2 linked regions of the Daphnia pulex genome follow. The protein of the gene in region 1 purifies or fractionates together with the protein of each later gene. This does not show direct contact. Links are inferred from orthologs where the notes say so. Each region holds a gene or a part of one and is shown in the gene's direction. Other genes may lie near its edges.

Region 1 (9,752 bases):
GTAGCGGTGACGTCATGGTCACCGAGGGACAAAACACGACGCTGAGATGCAGCGCCACCGGCCATCCGCTCCCGGTCATCACCTGGCGTCGTGAAGACGGCCGACCCATCCAGAATCACGGTATTTTTTTTCTTTTCTTTTCTTCTTGTCTGAAATTGAATTATTTACCCCGAGTAGTAGAAGTAGTAGTATATGCCTATACAGATTACTCTCTACGGTCTCAAATTTGATTATAGCCGTGACAGTCGAAGGATCGGTGCTGCATTTAACCCGAATACCCCGGCAGAATATCGGAGCTTACCTGTGCATAGGTAACTTATATACATCAACTATTCTCCCATGTCCCCTATGAAGGGAGAAAGAAACATAAAGCTTTCTAAATTTCAGTTATTCATTGAATTTTTCTTTTTTTAAACTGCAGCGTCCAACGGAGTTCCTCCCAGTGTGTCCAAAAGGTTCATGTTGCGAGTTCAGTGTAAGTCAAACCTATCGGGAAAAACAAAATTGCCCTTTTTCTTTTTCCATCTGTCATGAGCGGGAGAGTCTCTCGATGCGACGCGATGGACAATCGGCTGAAAAAATCAGAGTTTTTCGACTGCCATCGATTGAACGTGACTATGTTGTGTTTCGTTTCCCTTTTTTTTTCGTTTCGTTTCGTTTCGCTCTCACGCACACACCTCCCGCTCATAGACACGCACACCCAATATAGCTTTACAGTATAGAGAGTGTAGTATAGTGTAGTCGTCTGGACGATTCAACCGAAAGTCGAAACGTTAATGATCCATCGGCTATATATATATGTTACACGAGAGAGTCCAACCTTTTTTTCTTCTTCTTCTTCTTTTTTGGGAATCGTTAGTCCCGCCAAGCGTCACGGCGACCAATCAACTGGTCGGGGCTCGGCAAGGAGACATTAACATCACATTAGAGTGCCATTGCGAGTCCTTCCCCAAGCCGGTGGTCTACTGGCTAAGGCACAGCACCGGAGATGTCGTCGTCAACGGTAACGTATATAGACCAACATGCAGACGTACATTTTAGAAATGGCAACTGCCTTACTACTCTCCAATTTAAGACGTCCATAAATCTGGCTAGTAGTTCGTTTATTTCCTCCCCATTTCGATTGGGGAGGAAATAAATTTTGACGACATTGTGTTTTTGACGTCACATGTGAATGAGACCTTCTGTCGTTGCAAGAAATCATTCCGGGCGGAGGAGGGTGTGTCGTATGACCCCCCGACCGACCGACCGACAGTATATATGTGAAACGCAATTCATATTTGATTAGGTGTCAAACATCGCGAGGAGAAGCGAGAGACGAACCACTACAAGGTCTCCATGCAGCTCGTCTTTCTCCACCTGGAACGCGAAGACTTTATGGCCTACCAGTGCGTCTGTCGCAATACGCTGGGCATTGCCGATTCGGTCGTCCGACTTTACCGTACGTCTCGATTGAATTTCGATTTTTATTATTTTTAAAATGTTCAATTCAAGAATTTTATTTGATTTTTTTATTGGGAAGAAATCCATCCGGTGGCTGACGATGGAGACATGAACGAAGTTTACTCGGAAGCCGACCAGCAGGACGGCCGTGGAACGGGAAAAGAACAGCTTAGCAGCACCTGGGATGGTTAGTAATACATATATATACATGTTATTGTGGTTGTACAATAGGATCGATGAATGTTGTCTGGTTGTACGCAGAGAAATCCAAGGACGACTCGTCCACCAAGAGATTGGCAGCCAATAAACAGGCTTCCGCCAAGACTCAATTGGCCGTCGGCGGGCGGTCCAGCTCATCTGCTGTTGCAGCCTCGCAGTCACCTCCTCTCGGTTACCTGCTAGCGGCCATTTCTCTGCTCCTAGTCTCGATGACAAAAACGAGATAGTGTTCCACCTTTTCTAGAGCTCGTTTTTCATCCATGTAATAACCCCCTCCCAGACTCTCGATTATATTTATATGCTCTTCTCATCGTTTGGCCTCGTTATTATTATTATTTATTTTACCTGCGTTTATCCTTGATCGAACATGCTATCTATTAAATTTGACTTGATGACACTAAATTGAAGGGGAAAAAAACGATCATGTGCTTTCAATGTCGCTCTCTCTCTATATACTCGTCCCTCGAAGATGTTATTGTGTGCATAATGAATTGACCGCGAATTTTTACCAAAGACATAAATTAAAAATCAATTTATATTCAAATCCCCCCCATGGCATATTGTAGAGCACAAAAGCCGATGGATTTCTCCCAAACACGATCGTCTGCCGACTGTAATAAATATCAATATCAAATATAATATACTAAACTCAGTACACTATAAGAAGAAAAAGGAAAGAAAGTTCTTTTTTTTTGTGAATGTGTATGTGTGTATATGTTTTTGTGCAAAAATAAAAAGAAAATAGATTCAAAATACAAGCGTGTGTGAAGCGACTTATAGCGTGCCTCAAATGTTTTTACTTTTATTTCGAATTATTTATTTATTTTTTTTTAGATTCCCGAATATATAATAAGCCGGATCAGCACATGAGCAAGTAAAACTACTACAACATGGTCCTGCTGGATATCGATAGATTTAGATTTGTGTTCGTGTCTGGCGCCAAGTGGACAAAACTGGGCAAATCCGCTTATATAAATATGGGGGGGGCTGGAAAATATTATCATCCGGAATCGGCTCTCTCCAACGTTTTGGAAATCTCTCTCTCTCCAAAAGGCAGCCAGAGAGATGACGTATGCGTGCTATACTGTATTATTCACTTTCAATGCTGTTGACAGTTTTGTTCACTTTTTCAAAGATTTGAAATTTCCTCGAAATTTCCAATCGATTTCGAACGTTCTTTTTGATAAAAACTTTTTTTTAACTTTTAATTTCCGGATGAGCGGATGATAGTGATCTCGTGTAGAAGGACAGGTGTGTTCACATCTATACGCCGCCATGACAACCGACTGACAGTCTTCTGGCACGAGGCATCTCCGGACGGACGGACGGCCGCGTTAAAGGCAGGTGAATTCGTAATAGTGGGAAACGGAACAGGTTCCTTCTTCTCCTTGTATATACGTCTATCCAATAGAGCAGCAAGTTTATTTATATACACGTTTATTCTGTCCGGAGGGATGTGCGCCAAGGTTCGATAAAGACGGCGATGACTCTCTCAAATCGGCCAGACAAATGTTATGCAATTAGAATCAGCCGAGAAATCCGCTCGCGGAGCCTGCGGTGCGATTGCTTGCTTGCACGCAACCGTGTGTCTGTGTGCAGGTGTGGGTGTGTGTGTGCGTTTGCACTAAGAAATTATGAAGACGCTTTGATATTTAATAGGAAAAAACTACCCACACTCGACACAGCTCCCACGTTCAATTGTTTTCCGTATCAGCGAATAATGTGCTGTCACGTAGGAAATGCGTTTCAATGTCTTGTTTTTTCGCTGGATATTTTTCGCCAAAATTTATTGTCAACTGCAGGGAGACAAACGTGAACTTTATAGCTTACACACACACATGTATATGTATACCTGGCCCACATATACCGTGCTCGATGCACTGGAGGTTCATAATCGTGATTCATGAAACAATCATGTTACATGCATCCTAGTAAAACTTCATGGAAACTCGGCCCAACCTATAGCTACACCGTGTGTGTGTACGAGCTTGACGAGTTACTGCAGAAAGACCAAATGGTGAAGTTGATATAATCAAAAGTTATAAAAGGAGAATCTTCTTGACATTTCACGAACGAACAGTTTGCCGGTCGCTTTTTGGGTCTACATTTTTACCTCATCTGGGATCGCTGCTTCTTTTAGACTCCGCCACTCTTGGCAGAGACTTGAAACCATCTCGTGTGTAGCTTTCGGTGCAGGTGCTTCATTCCCACGCATAATCATCGGTTATTTATGCCACCATTTCTCAAATCGAGTAGAGTTTCACGAATTTTAAAACCCGTGGACAAAAAAGTCGAGATTGAATAGTAAAAACGCCGTCAGTCCGTTAATATCTTAAATCATCGACCCCGAAAAAATATATCAAATTCTAAATGCCATAAAACTTCACGGCGTAGATTGCATAATTAATAAATGTATACTACGTAATATTTTTATGATTTTATCAAAGTAAAAAAGGCGAAAGCGGATGTGATGTGTCAACTCGCGGAGTGGACATAAAAGTTTACCTGGCAACAGCTTGTAGACCCAAGAAAAACAAAAGACAAAATGGCTAAACGTAAAAATGACGTACAGGTCCCGGCCGAAGAAAGTGATTTATTGGTTATTAGGCCATTGTAAATATAATGTCAATTGACTTTTAATTTGTATTTGGAAAATTCACGGGTGTTTTTTATTACATTACTTTTCAGGGGAGCCGGACAAGAAGTTGGTCGATCATGTATCATGCTCGAATTCAAGGGCAAGAAAATCATGGTAAACAAACGTGTTTTTGTTGTACAGAGTTGAATCGCCATTGAATGTGGGCATTTCATTGATTATGTTTTTCATTTTCTAGCTGGATTGTGGAATTCATCCAGGTTTATCGGGAATGGATGCACTGCCTTTCGTTGATTTGATTGAAGCAGATCAAATTGACTTGTTACTCATTTCACAGTGAGTTTTGGTTTTGTTTTCTTAAGTTTTATTGTCAATAGCTAATGTACAATTGTATTTTTCAATAGTTTCCATTTGGATCACTGTGGGGCACTTCCATGGTTTTTACAGAAAACAACATTCAAGGGACGGTGCTTCATGACACATGCCACAAAAGCAATTTACCGTTGGCTGCTCTCTGATTATATTAAAGTAAGAAAAAAAGGCATTTGAGTTTTAGTCGATGCAGTGCTCACAAGTAATATTTCCAACAGGTCAGCAACATTTCCACAGATCAAATGCTCTACACAGAGGCAGATCTGGAGGCATCCATGGAAAAGATTGAAGTTATCAACTTTCACGAAGAGAAGGATGTTGGTGGAGTTCGTTTCTGGGCTTACAACGCAGGCCATGTTCTGGGCGCCGCTATGTTCATGATTGAAATTGCCGGCGTGAAAGTGCTTTACACTGGGGACTTTTCCCGACAGGAAGACAGACATTTGATGGCCGCTGAGATTCCTACTGTTCGACCCGATATCCTAATCACCGTGAGTTAAGCTTGAAGTATTTCAAGGCGAAATATGTCCATGTGATAATCTGTTTTATTCTCGAAGGAATCCACTTACGGAACTCACATCCACGAGAAGCGCGAAGATCGAGAAAGCCGTTTCACAGGTCTGATCCACGAAATTGTCAATAGAGGTGGCAGATGTCTGATCCCGGTCTTTGCACTGGGTCGAGCACAAGAATTGCTTCTCATTCTAGGTATTAGGTATTAGAAGTAATTTTTTGCATAAGAAAACTTCCAATCAGTTTTAATTGGCTTTTAGATGAATATTGGAGCCTGCATCCCGAACTTCACGAGATTCCCATCTACTATGCCTCGTCGCTTGCACAAAAGTGTATGGCCGTGTACCAGGTACTAATCAAATTCAAAATCTCGCAGCGATCGCATCAAACTTTAATTGGTTCTCTATTCTTGCAGACTTATATCAATGCCATGAACGACAAAATTCGGCGGCAGATTGCCATCAATAATCCTTTCATCTTCAAGCACATCTCTAGTCTCAAGGTACAATAATATTTGAAATAACCTGTTATAAAATGGTCCTTTATTCAACGCAATGTATTGTCATTCCCCAGGGTATCGATCAGTTCGAAGACGTTGGCCCTTGTGTAATTATGGCCTCTCCCGGTATGATGCAGAGTGGTCTATCTCGCGAACTCTTCGAAGCTTGGTGCACAGATCCTAAAAACGGTTGCATCATCGCAGGTCAGTGGAAAGAAATGTTTTAATTTTTATATAATTAGTTGTTCACGTTTATTTTTGTTGTCGTAAAAGGGTACTGTGTTGAAGGAACATTGGCAAAACATGTTTTGTCAGAACCGGAAGATATTACCAGCATGGCTGGCCAGAAGCTACCAATGAAGCTTTCAGTTGACTACATTTCATTCTCCGCTCACACTGACTACCAACAGACCAGTGAATTTATTCGTTTGCTGAAGCCACCTCATGTCGTTTTGGTTCACGGCGAGGCCAACGAGATGAACCGACTCAAAGCGGCGCTCATCCGAGAGTATGAACATGATCCAGACACTCAAATCCGTATATACAATCCACGTAACACTGCGGCAGTAGAACTCCATTTCAAGGGCGAAAAAACGGCCAAAGTAATTTAAAAAATCGTAAAAGCGATTCACCCAATGAATTTTATTCTAACGCCTTGTTGTCTAGGTGATGGGATCTCTGGCGTTTGAAAAACCAGTCGAAGGCCAAATCATTTCTGGTGTCTTGGTCAAACGAAACTTCAAATACCAAATTGTGGCGCCGTCGGATATTTCGAGTACCAACAATTTTTATTCAAGTCTTAATTTCTATAACTTTAGTACCCAATTTTTTTGAATTGCAGAATACACAGACATGACTGTAAGCAGCGTAACTCAAAGGATGGGTATCCACTACAGCGGGAATCTGCAAACGTTACAAGCTGTCCTGTCTCACGTTTCGCCTGACGTCGAAGTTATCGAGAGCGACAAAGGACTAAAAACATTTCGCCTTTTCTCTGCCATTGATGTCATTGTTGATAAAACTCTGGTTACATTAGAAGTACGCATCTTAATGATTTGTGAAGACCACTTCTTTAATGTTTAATATTTGATTTGTTTAGTGGGCGGCTGATTCTGTGAACGACATGTTCGCTGACGCAGTGCTTTCAGCTATCTTAAAGTGCGAATCTCTTCAAGGTTCGAGGACGATTGTGCTACCCACGACTGTTGATCATGCCCGCTTCAAGGTACTAAATTTTATTTGTTTGAGAATAATATCGGTCTAAACGTGTGAATTTATATAGGAATGCTTGATAGAAATGCTTCAAGATATGTTTGGAGATGATGCGGTTCCAAAAATGTTCAAAGGAGATAAATTCATTGTTACCGTTGACGGAAAAAGAGCCAATATAGATCTCACAGCATTGGTAACGTCTAAAATTACCGTTTTCTTATAAAAATCTAAATTCTTTTTTATTAAAGGAGGTGGAATGTCCTGAAGATGTTGGATTTCAACAAGTGGTTCAAACGGCTGTACTTAAATTATATCAATCTTTGGCACCAAAAGCAGAAAAAGTAAAATAACTTGTATTGATATTTAATAATGGAAGAATAAACAACTGCTAAAGTATTTTTATAATCCATCCATATATTTTTTGCATTGTTACTGGATTGTGATTTCTTAAAAATCAAAGTCTTCGCACTAATATTGCCCCGCACGAAGTAACAACCGATTAATTCATGCCCTCAAGAAGAAGAGCTACTCCTTGACCACCACCAATACAAGCCGATCCGATAGCATATTTCAGTTTGCGACGTCTAATGATAAAAGTAAAATAATTAGCATATGGTTCAACGCATCAAAGAAAATTAATTACCCCAATTCGTGAACCAAATGCGCGGTAATGCGCGAGCCGGAAGCTCCAAGAGGATGACCAAGAGCGATGGCACCACCATTGACGTTAAGGACTTCAGGATCCAAATCAAGTTCACGTTGGCAAGCAATAGTCTGAGCCGCGAAGGCTTCGTTGATTTCAACTGCACCAATATCCTTCAGCTGCAAATTAGCTTTAGCCAATACTTTACGAATGGCAGGTGCTGGTCCGATTCCCATGATAGTGGGTTCAACACCAGCAATACCATAACCAACCTACAAATAAAACAATTAATGATGTATTCATTAAAAGTGTAAAGATTTTGTATACCAAACGAGCCAATGGCGTCAGATTATGAAGTTTGCATGCTTCTTCGCTGGCCAATATGATGGCTCCAGCACCATCACAAATGCCTGATGCTGTACCAGCAGTAACAGTTCCATTTTTCTTGAAGACGGGAGGCAGCTAGTTTAAGTATCAGAAATTAGATATAGAAACATTGGAATCATATCTTTTATGGAGTTGTAGTACCTTGGCCAACATTTCCATGGTAGTTTGCACGCGCGGATGTTCATCAGTGTCAAAAGAAACAGGTTTCTTTTTAATTTCCAAAGATACAGGAGCCAATTCAGCTGTAAAATAAAAAAAAAAGATAAAATTATCTATGTATACATTCTGAGATATGCAAATTTTAATTACCTTTGAAATTTCCATTTTCATGAGCAGCTTTCCAATTCAACTGAGATCTGAGAGCAAACTTGTCAACCTCTTCTCGTGTGATGTTATATTTCTCAGCTAAATTCTCAGCAGTAATTCCCATCTAAAAATAATTGCAACAATAAAAAACTGATAAGAAACAAACAAACAAAAGGAAATATAATTACAGGGGTCTTGCAATGGAAGTCAGTTAGGGCAGCCCACATCATGTCTTCCAACTTAATATCAACTCCAAGTTTGGTTCCAAAGCGAATACCTCTAACAGCGTAGGGAGCTTGGCTCATGGAATCTGAACCACCAGCCAAAACAATTTGAGAATCTCCCATCAAAATATCCTGTAATACCAAATGCAATTGAATGAAATTTCCTGTCATTTTTATGGTGTGGAATTATTTGTGTTACATGTGCGCCATTAATAACTGACTGGAAACCAGAGCCACACAGACGGTTGACTAGAAATAATTTTTGTCTGGTTAATAATGTGTAAATGCTATTAAAATATGTTGATTTTACCTGTCAATGCTGGGGTAGGAATAGGAATGCCACATCGAAGTGAAACATGCCTAGAAATGTAGGGTGCATCCACTGAAGAGCAACTCAAGACATTTCCAATAATAACGGAATCTACAAGCTCTGGATTGACTTTGGCGGCAGAGAGTGCAGCCTTGGCAGCAATTTCTTGCAAATCAACGCAAGTCTTGCCGGCCAATTTTCCTCCAAAAGTACCGAACGGAGTTCTCTTGGCACCGACGATGAAGATTCCGCGTGTTAATGAAGCCATTCTGAACGAAAATTAGGTTGAGAACGGAAGATAGCAGATTAAACGTAGATACCTTATTAAGGGTTGACCGACTATGAAAGCAGAGTATTCGATTCTACTTTGATAACGTCTTTTACGTCTATATACAATGAGTAAGACGTATATGGTATGGTAAACGAGTACGAGATATCGTAGCAGACTAGCGTTGACCTAGTTGGCATAAAGTTGTAAGTTGTAACTTGTAAGTTGTAATTCGTAATTTTTAAATTTCACGAAACAGAAAAATTCATACACAAAACTGAAATTTAAAAATTCCAATTCCAAATCCAAACTAACCTCCAAAAATTACATTTGTTTAAAATAAATGGTTGTTGTCTGACAACCGTCTCTCCTAAATGAAGGCGGGGCTTGTGCAAACCAGTCGATATTTTTTACTTTAGAAACAATCCAGAGACAAGATACACATGGCTGCTCTAAGGGAAGTGTTGATTTTCAACTCCAAGTGCTTTCGGGGGGTATATATTTCCATTATATGATTTATTACAAATTCTACGAAATTATTAATGTTGTATAATTTAGGTTAGATCTTATTTTTGTTCTTCTCCCGCTTTTCAATATTCATCTCTTAGTCCCAACAATGCAAGTTCAAATGTTCAGAAATTGGATTTTGAGGAGAGCGATACGAAGCGGATGAGCAAAGCAATGAAATCATACATGGAGCGTGCAAAAATTCATGGTAAACATTTAAATTATTGCTTAATAGAATTTTGTTTATCTCTGA
Region 2 (7,967 bases), on another chromosome or scaffold:
CGCACTTACTTTCGCGTCACAGTGTAGCCACAGCTACGTAAATCCACGCGTTATCTTGCGTGCCACAGGGTATGTATACATTCGAGCATGATATATTGATGAGTCCGTAATCTCAAACTTGTATGCTTCTCATGCTTCTGCTGATCTCGCAACCCCTCCCCCGTGGTGGGGGAGGGGAAATGGAAAAATGGGGCGGCTCCTGCAAACCGCAGGTGTTCTATAAAATGTCTGATACCTTCCAGCTTTGAATTGCATTGTTTTCCGCACAACAGTCAGAACAAATCATCGCGTAAAGCGGGTTAACCCTTTTCGAGCCGGTTCTTTCGAATGATTAACTTGAGTTCCAGCCTTCTGATTTTGCGGTGAAACAGTTGACAAGAGACATCACAGCACCTGGAAAACTGCAATTTACAATTTGATAATAATGTCACTGGAAAAACCACATAGCAGTTTGGATTGGTTTTGCCTGAGGGTGGCCGTCGTCTTAACGGCTTGTTGGATTCCTTCCAGTTCAGCCTTTGGCGATGTCTTCGTGGTAAGCTATTTTAGATTGAAAATACTGCTGACAATATAAATGCTCACGTTTTACTTGTTCTATAGATGAATTCGTCTCAAATCGAAATTGATTGCGTGAATTTCTGCGATACTTCTGAGGTAAAATAACTTTACTTTCTCTTTTAATCCTTGAACGACTTAAAGGATAACAAGACGCACTAACAATTATTTATAATTCGCATGAGCGTGAGATAAAAAAACTAAGATAAAAAACCTGTATAAACATTTCAAAATACAATTTATTTATGTAATTTTTTTTAAAACTGTGTAATCCGAACAGGAACTTTTCAGTTCTGATTGTCAACGTGGCTGCCGTTTCTTTGAGACCTTTAACACAGCTTCCGTGTTCGCGAAGTTTGACGACGCGGCTGCACTTCTGAGCTGCCATCAATGTAAGTGGTGTTACTTATAATGACCAATTAAACAACTCGTCTTATTTTAAATATTCTCTTATAAGCTTGCTCCGAGGCATATGGCAATGAAATGGAAAAGAAAACTGCATGCTTCGAAGGCTGTACGGATGCTCAAAAGGAATACAACAGAATGTACTCGGTAAAAATTAATAGATGTCTTTAATGCTCATTTAAAACGAGTCTAAGTTGTGTGTTCTCTAATTGTTATAGATGTCGATTGATTGGTTACATGATTTACAAAGCAACATGACTTTCTTCCAAACTTTATTGGATGTAACGGGTGCTATTGTGAACCCGAAACGATTTGTAGAAGACATTCCTTCTACTAGAAAAGGTTAGTGTTTCTTTAACAAACAATTTTTTTAAATTCGATTGTTTAAATTTACCCGTTTTTCTATTCGATTTTAGTCGTAAAAACCAAAAGCCCAGCAGCATTAGTAAACTTAAATGCTCCCTTAAAGTTTGCGCCTCAAAATACGAATGCCAAAAAAAATCTGCCGGAACAAGAAAGTGATCAATTCAGAAAACAGCAGCAATCAACCAACACAGTGCCGGAATGGATTGCTCAAAGCGCGTTTATCTTATTCACGCTTGGTGTTGTCATGCTACTGGGAACCTTTTGTTACTGCTGCTTTTTTGCGCATCTCCTCAGACGCGTAAGCATAATGAAACATAATTTCTAATTGGATAACTTTGATAACCTTCCGTTCTCTGGCTGAAGCAGAATAAAGAAATCAAAACGGACCTACCGCCCAGCTACGAACAGCTTGTCAGAAATAGCTACGTCATCGTGCAACCTTCACTGCTAAATGACTATCATCTTGTAAAAGGCGACAAACCAGAGGAATCCTGTACCATCAATTTGGATTCCGATACAGGAGCGAACAACATTTCAGACATTTATAGATCTGACAACGACGAAGTTCGTTTACCGCTTAGATATGAAACGGAAACTGCGTGAGTAAAATCTATAACGAGTGGACAGATGAAGCTGGTGTTACTGTAATATCCAGCCTAACAACTTCTGTAAATATTGTATAAATACGTATATTTATTAACAACACTTTTCCCTAAAAAGAGTAAAAGCGTTTCTTTGAGCTAATTGCTGTGTGAATTAGCTCAAACTTTCTCTTGGCATGGAACTGTTATGTACATAATTCAAATAAACCGTTAAATTTTGTCGAACTGATTTCCTGTTTAAGGTGTTTCAGTTTTGTGTCGGGATTACAATTCGTCTTCGAACCGCACGACTTGCACGAAAAATAAAAATAAAAATAAAAAGATACAGGATAACGAGTTGACTTTAGAAACTCGTCTGGTCACCTTTGTTTGGATTGTTGAGGTGAACAGGTATTGATTATCAATAGTGCTATGTCCAATCTCGATACACGTTATCACATTTTTCTAACTCGTTGTTGTAATAAAAAAAAACGGATAATAGATCTGATCTAACATAAATAGAATCAGAAAAAATGATATAACATTATATTTGTTCTTCGAGAGTATCGAGACCGTAAACATACCGTCGGTTTATTATATAGTACCAAAAAGGATAACACGCAATCCCTTCTTTTCTTTTTTGAGTTTTTTCCTTTCAAGTTTCAACGATTACCGATTACGAACCATTCTTCAGCGCTATTTCAACGTAAAATTTGTGAATTTTTTGTTATTATTAAATTTTTTATCGTTATCAAATTATACTTTTCCCAGAATTATTTAAATTATTTATATTTTTTAAAATTTGGTTTATTGATTGATAATTTCAATCAATCGAATATTTGAATTTTATTGTTTTCTTCTTTCTGTCGGATCGAGAGATACCTACGTTTGATATGGCAACTAGGCAATGCCTTATGCCGCAGCCAAACATTGCAAAATGGCGCTGAGCAGGCAACAGAACATCTCTTGAACATTTTAGGTGAGTGCATTTTTTATCGGGGATTTACAGACTTATATCATCAGCGCCGATTGTCGGCATTGATCGAAAATTTAAATGTAAATTTTTAAGTACTTATTTCACTTAAAATCTGTGGAAATTGGGCGTTTTCATTTTCTGACGAAACAAGTAGTTGACGTGCGGTGTGCACATAACGGTTTCTCTCATGTTTACATAAACTTGTTCTTCAATTAACTAAAATTTTTTATTGTCTTTTTTTCAGCTATTTAACTAATTATTATCAGAAAAATGGCAACCCAAATGGCATATTATCCTGGTGCCAATGGCATGAATCAGTCACCATTTCAATCGAGGCATGCCACTGGCCCCAGCCAGAGCCCTGCAAATGCAGGAAATAATTCTTTCCTTGGAGCAGGATTACCTAGGATTGTTCCAGGAAGTGAACCATTGAGACCACCAATTCCACCTGGTCGCCACATGTTTCATCCCTTCAATAGACCATACCCTAAGCCTGGCCAAGATCGGTCAGACTATGATTCCAAACAGTTGCGCAAGAGCTCAATGCGCAAAACTGTAGATTATTACTCTTCAGTGATTCGTATGCTAGAGGTAAATTGAGAAGCTTGTAAATACAAGGATTGCCTTTCTTCTCTTGTAGTTAGAACATGTTTATATTTTTAATATTTCCTTTAATTTATATGTTCAGAGTTTTATCAAATACAATTTGTATTTATATAGTATTATCTTGACTTAAATTTAGACAAGAGTCTGGCAGCGGGACGCCAGAGACAGGCGAAGTCTTCAACCCGACGTGTGTTATTATCCAGAAATGGTTCCTCCCTCTTGCTATTTGGATACGCCCAGCAATGCCATAACAACACGTTTTACTAAAGTAATGCATTATAGATGGAAAGCCCGATTTTGAATTATTCTATTTATCTTTTTTTTTCTTTGAATTTACCTCGAAAGGTGGCAACAAATAAAATTCGTTGTCCAGTATTTTGCCTTACTTGGACTCCTGAAGGCCGTCGTTTAATCACAGGGGCATCAAGCGGCGAGTTTACCCTGTGGAACGGCCTGACGTTCAATTTTGAAACTATTTTACAGGTATGAAAAATCCGTAAATAGTACTCCTAAGAAATAACACGGTAACGAGTAATTATTAATCTAATCCTTCTTACCCTTTAAATAGGCTCACGACAGTCCGGTCCGTAGCATGGTATGGTCCCACAACGATATCTGGATGGTGACGGGGGACCATGGCGGCTACATCAAATACTGGCAGTCAAATATGAATAACGTCAAGATGTTTCAAGCTCACAAAGAAGCCATTCGGGGCATCAGGTATTGAAACCAAAACCAAACCAAAATAAAAATCAAATTTCATTGCTGTGATACGTATAACCTCCGAACTTTTCCCAATCTTTTCTTCTATAAATGCTCATTGCCCAATAATACAAGTACGCTTGAAAGTAAAAGAGAAAAAAAAAGAAAATCCTACATACCAAGAACAACTGATCTGTGATAGATGCAACTGAGGAAAATAAAAGAGACTTCTTTTTCAACCCTCTATACGATTTTGAAGTAAAACATTTTATACGATTCGTTTATGAAACTCTGCGCACCCGATATTGCCTAATTGCAATAGGCGTATACGAGATCGAAATACTTGTCGGGACTTACGGTTAACTTTTCAAATGACCCATACTTTTCTACCCCAATTAAACTTCTTTTATCCACAAAGTCAACATTTTCAATTAATCTACCTTGACGATTATAAAACCATTTTAAGGGTATTCAATTACAATTAAAGACCCTCCACGTTTTTGTGTATCCAGTTTTAGTCCAACGGATCAAAAATTGGCCTCTTGCTCCGACGATGGAACTGTGCGAATATGGGATTTTGTCCGCTGTCAGGAGGAAAAAATTCTTCGAGGTACCCAACTAATTGTTTTGTTTTTTCTGCAAGCCTACTTCATGTCCATCAATTGTTTCCATTAGGGCACGGAGCTGATGTCAAATGCGTCGATTGGCACCCGCAAAAGGGTCTAGTCATTTCAGGCAGCAAAGACAACCAGCAACCAGTCAAACTGTGGGATCCCAAATCTGGTCAATCATTAGCTACGCTGCACGCCCATAAAAGCACAGTTATGGACGCAAAATGGAACAAGAACGGCCAGTGGCTCATCACCGCTTCCAGAGATCATTTGATCAAGCTATTTGACATCCGTCGGCTTGATCAAGAATTGCAAACTTTCCGCGGTCACAAGAAGGAAGCATCCTGTCTTTCGTGGCATCCATTTCACGAAGAACTTTTCTGTAGCGGTGGATCTGACGGAGCTATATTCTTCTGGAACGTTGGGTAATTTTGTTTATTAAGTCGTGTATTTTTCAAACCTTACCCTAACTCTTTTTCTGTTTTGCTTTGAAAACATAGAACGGACAAAGAAGTTGGTGCTATCGATCAAGCTCATGAAAGTCTCATTTGGTCTCTTGCCTGGCATCCGATCGGACACATTCTCTGTTCGGGTTCGAATGACCACACGTCAAAGTTCTGGACACGAAACAGACCCGGCGATAAGATGAGGGACAAATACAATCTCAACACGTTACCGCCTGGAGTGATGCCCGAAGACGCCGAGTTGCTGGATGACCATCACGCTCCCAATATCCCAGGAATGGGACCCGAAGACAAAGTGGAAGCAGAAGGCGGAGACGGACAACTCGGTCAGAGTAGCCTCAGTTTATTAAGCGCAGGCATGATTCCTGGTCTGGATGTGGAACCATTAGCACAAGACGTGAAACCCATCAAGAAAGTTCCGTATGCCAAACCAATTCCACGTCACTTCCAGGCACAATGGAATGAGAGCAGTGCTAGTAAGAAACCAGCCATCTTACCCACTCCCAGCCTATCGTCAGCATCGGGTGTACTGTCTGATGAAGAGGATCACGTCCTTGGTGTTGATCCCGTTGCCTTTGGAATGGAACAGTTGGGTCGCGCATCTCTGACCCTGTTCGGCCTACCGGCTAATGATCCAGAGCAGTTGCAAGAATTGCTCGACACGGCTCAGTCGTTGCCTGTTACTCAACTTCCCACTCCGACAGCTGTCATAATCGATGGCACGATACTGTCCATCGAAGCCGATTCAGAGTTAGAGAAAGCCATTCGTACTGGCGAAGAAGAGTTTAATCAGGTTCTATCTTCGATGGGCTTGAAAGTTACTGTTGAGGAGGAGGAGACTAAACCCGAAGTAGTTCCAACTGGCGAGTACAATCAAGATCGAGAATTGGACGACGACGATTTCTATCCGCGCTCTCGAACACCTGTTCTTGACGACTCTCCGGGCTACAACAGGGGTCATTCAGGAATTGGTCCAACACCAACTGGTGGTCTTCTAGGAGACTTCCCTCAGAGAGGTAATTAATTTGCATAAATGATTGTTCTGCTGTTGGCACTGTACTAAATTATTGAATAGTTGTAGAGTTTCAACAGAGGGGCCACCCTGTTCAGCCCATCCGTCATCCGTTACCACCAGGAGCTGGGCAGCAACACCACCACCATCATTTACCGCAACAACAGCAACCGCAACAACAACAGCAGCAGCAACACAATCACCACCATAATCACGGAGGCTGGCAAGGCCAACCTCCACCTCAAGGTTTGATTGAAATAGTCGAAGAAAAATGACGCAACTTGAACTTATCTGTCGGTTATTTATTTTTAGAAATGGGAAATTGGGATCGCCCACCTTTCGAACCACAACAGCAACCAGATCGCTTTCCTCCGCGACCACCTCATAGTCAGGGTCCAATGAATAGACCCTACTTCCAGCCACCGCACCATCAGGACCGATTTAATCAAAGTGGACCTCCACTTCCACCTCCAGGCAGAGGTACGCTCATGGTTTTAAGTTTAAGTAATCTAATGCAAACTAATTATGCGGATGGAAAAACAGGGAGAGGTCATCACGGACCACCAGGTGGAAATCAAGCGTGGGGTGGTCCACCACCATCTATCGATAATGAAGAAGAACTGCATTATATGGGAAATGGAGGACCCCCAATGCAGCCCATTGAAGACGACATGCGGATGGAAGGCGGTTATCCGCCTCCCCCACCTCCACAAATGAGTGATCGGCATGGCGAAGGAAACTTTGGCGGTTGGGGTCCTGGTCCCAACAACTATCGAGGGGGTGGTGAACCTCCCGGCCCTTTTGAAAGAGGCGACGAGGATTACGGTGGTAGGGGACCACCACCAGGTCATTTCGCTCCAAGCTATCCTGGACAATTCCATCCACCACCACCGCATCATCAGCCTCCACCAGGCCGTTGGAATCCAGAAGGCGGAGGTGGACGGGGAGGTTTCGGGAGGGGTGGAGGTGGTCGGCGACCTCGAAGAGGAGGATATAACAACTATTGATGAAAGAATTTCAATGCGACTGATGGATGATTTTGTATCTCTTATTTTCTCGCCATTTTTTATAAAATGTGTACAAAATTGAAAATGAATAATGCTCGCCATGTTCACGACATACCAACTGACTAACTCTAGGACCAAACAAAATTCAAACACCAAAATAAAAGGTCAATCCTCGTTGGACGTTAGCCTATTTGGAATTGTACAAGGGGCAGTCTACATCATTCATTTCAACGTAGACTGACTTCAACTGAGTATAACATTGGATGGCTTCAGTACTGCATTCGACACCGATGCCACTCTGCTTGAACCCACCGAAAGGCAATTCGACTGGTGTGACGTTGAAGTTGTTCACCCAAATTGTACCAGATTGCAAACGGTCCGAAGTTCGGTGTGCTCTTCTCAGGTCTCTGTAAAAGTGTAATCGTTAAGTTTCACAGAAATGAGATTTATTTTAGGTAAACAATACTTTGTAAAAATGCCAGCACTCAATCCGTAAGGAGTTTGATTGGCTCGACGAATAACTTCTTCCTCGGTATCAAACGGCAAAATGGTAGCGACTGGTCCAAAAATTTCTTCTTTTACAACCGTCATGTCGTCATGGCAATTGGTTAGAATGCATGGGGAGATGAAATATCCATTTTGAAAAGGATCGGGCATTTGAATTCGTTCACCACCGCACAGT

The links.
Region 2: the proteins of cleavage and polyadenylation specificity factor 73-like (region 1) and pre-mRNA 3' end processing protein WDR33-like purify together in Homo sapiens (affinity purification with mass spectrometry; 5 studies listed by BioGRID and IntAct, with this or other methods). This does not show direct contact. The link is inferred for Daphnia pulex from reciprocal best matches to the Homo sapiens genes CPSF3 and WDR33.

The regions. Positions count from the first base shown.
Region 1 is NC_060024.1:9,769,851-9,779,602, forward strand, and holds cleavage and polyadenylation specificity factor 73-like, read left to right. Parts: upstream 1-4,140; 5' UTR 4,141-4,207; coding exon 4,208-4,275; intron 4,276-4,350; coding exon 4,351-4,414; intron 4,415-4,496; coding exon 4,497-4,594; intron 4,595-4,662; coding exon 4,663-4,786; intron 4,787-4,848; coding exon 4,849-5,121; intron 5,122-5,187; coding exon 5,188-5,338; intron 5,339-5,403; coding exon 5,404-5,492; intron 5,493-5,558; coding exon 5,559-5,645; intron 5,646-5,716; coding exon 5,717-5,846; intron 5,847-5,915; coding exon 5,916-6,244; intron 6,245-6,308; coding exon 6,309-6,417; intron 6,418-6,483; coding exon 6,484-6,680; intron 6,681-6,741; coding exon 6,742-6,867; intron 6,868-6,924; coding exon 6,925-7,047; intron 7,048-7,102; coding exon 7,103-7,204; 3' UTR 7,205-7,250; downstream 7,251-9,752. Other genes in the region: hemicentin-1-like, read left to right, coding at 1-120, 237-311, 422-475, 860-1,003, 1,289-1,441, 1,523-1,630, 1,705-1,889; 3-ketoacyl-CoA thiolase, mitochondrial-like, read right to left, coding at 7,354-7,438, 7,498-7,769, 7,825-7,959, 8,026-8,126, 8,194-8,314, 8,379-8,546, 8,614-8,663, 8,725-8,992; 28S ribosomal protein S9, mitochondrial-like, read left to right, coding at 9,436-9,486, 9,551-9,707. UniProt on the Homo sapiens protein: Component of the cleavage and polyadenylation specificity factor (CPSF) complex that plays a key role in pre-mRNA 3'-end formation, recognizing the AAUAAA signal sequence and interacting with poly(A) polymerase and other factors to bring about cleavage and poly(A) addition.
Region 2 is NC_060018.1:835,574-843,540, reverse strand, and holds pre-mRNA 3' end processing protein WDR33-like, read left to right. Parts: upstream 1-2,735; 5' UTR 2,736-2,886; exon of another isoform or gene 2,887-3,061; intron 3,062-3,127; 5' UTR 3,128-3,153; coding exon 3,154-3,474; intron 3,475-3,625; coding exon 3,626-3,757; intron 3,758-3,834; coding exon 3,835-3,972; intron 3,973-4,057; coding exon 4,058-4,209; intron 4,210-4,703; coding exon 4,704-4,801; intron 4,802-4,866; coding exon 4,867-5,227; intron 5,228-5,302; coding exon 5,303-6,282; intron 6,283-6,341; coding exon 6,342-6,524; intron 6,525-6,590; coding exon 6,591-6,758; intron 6,759-6,821; coding exon 6,822-7,285; 3' UTR 7,286-7,399; downstream 7,400-7,967. Other genes in the region: uncharacterized protein LOC124188867, read left to right, coding at 425-535, 601-654, 836-947, 1,013-1,107, 1,179-1,302, 1,377-1,624, 1,690-1,929; 4-trimethylaminobutyraldehyde dehydrogenase A-like, read right to left, coding at 7,473-7,692, 7,752-7,967. UniProt on the Homo sapiens protein: Essential for both cleavage and polyadenylation of pre-mRNA 3' ends.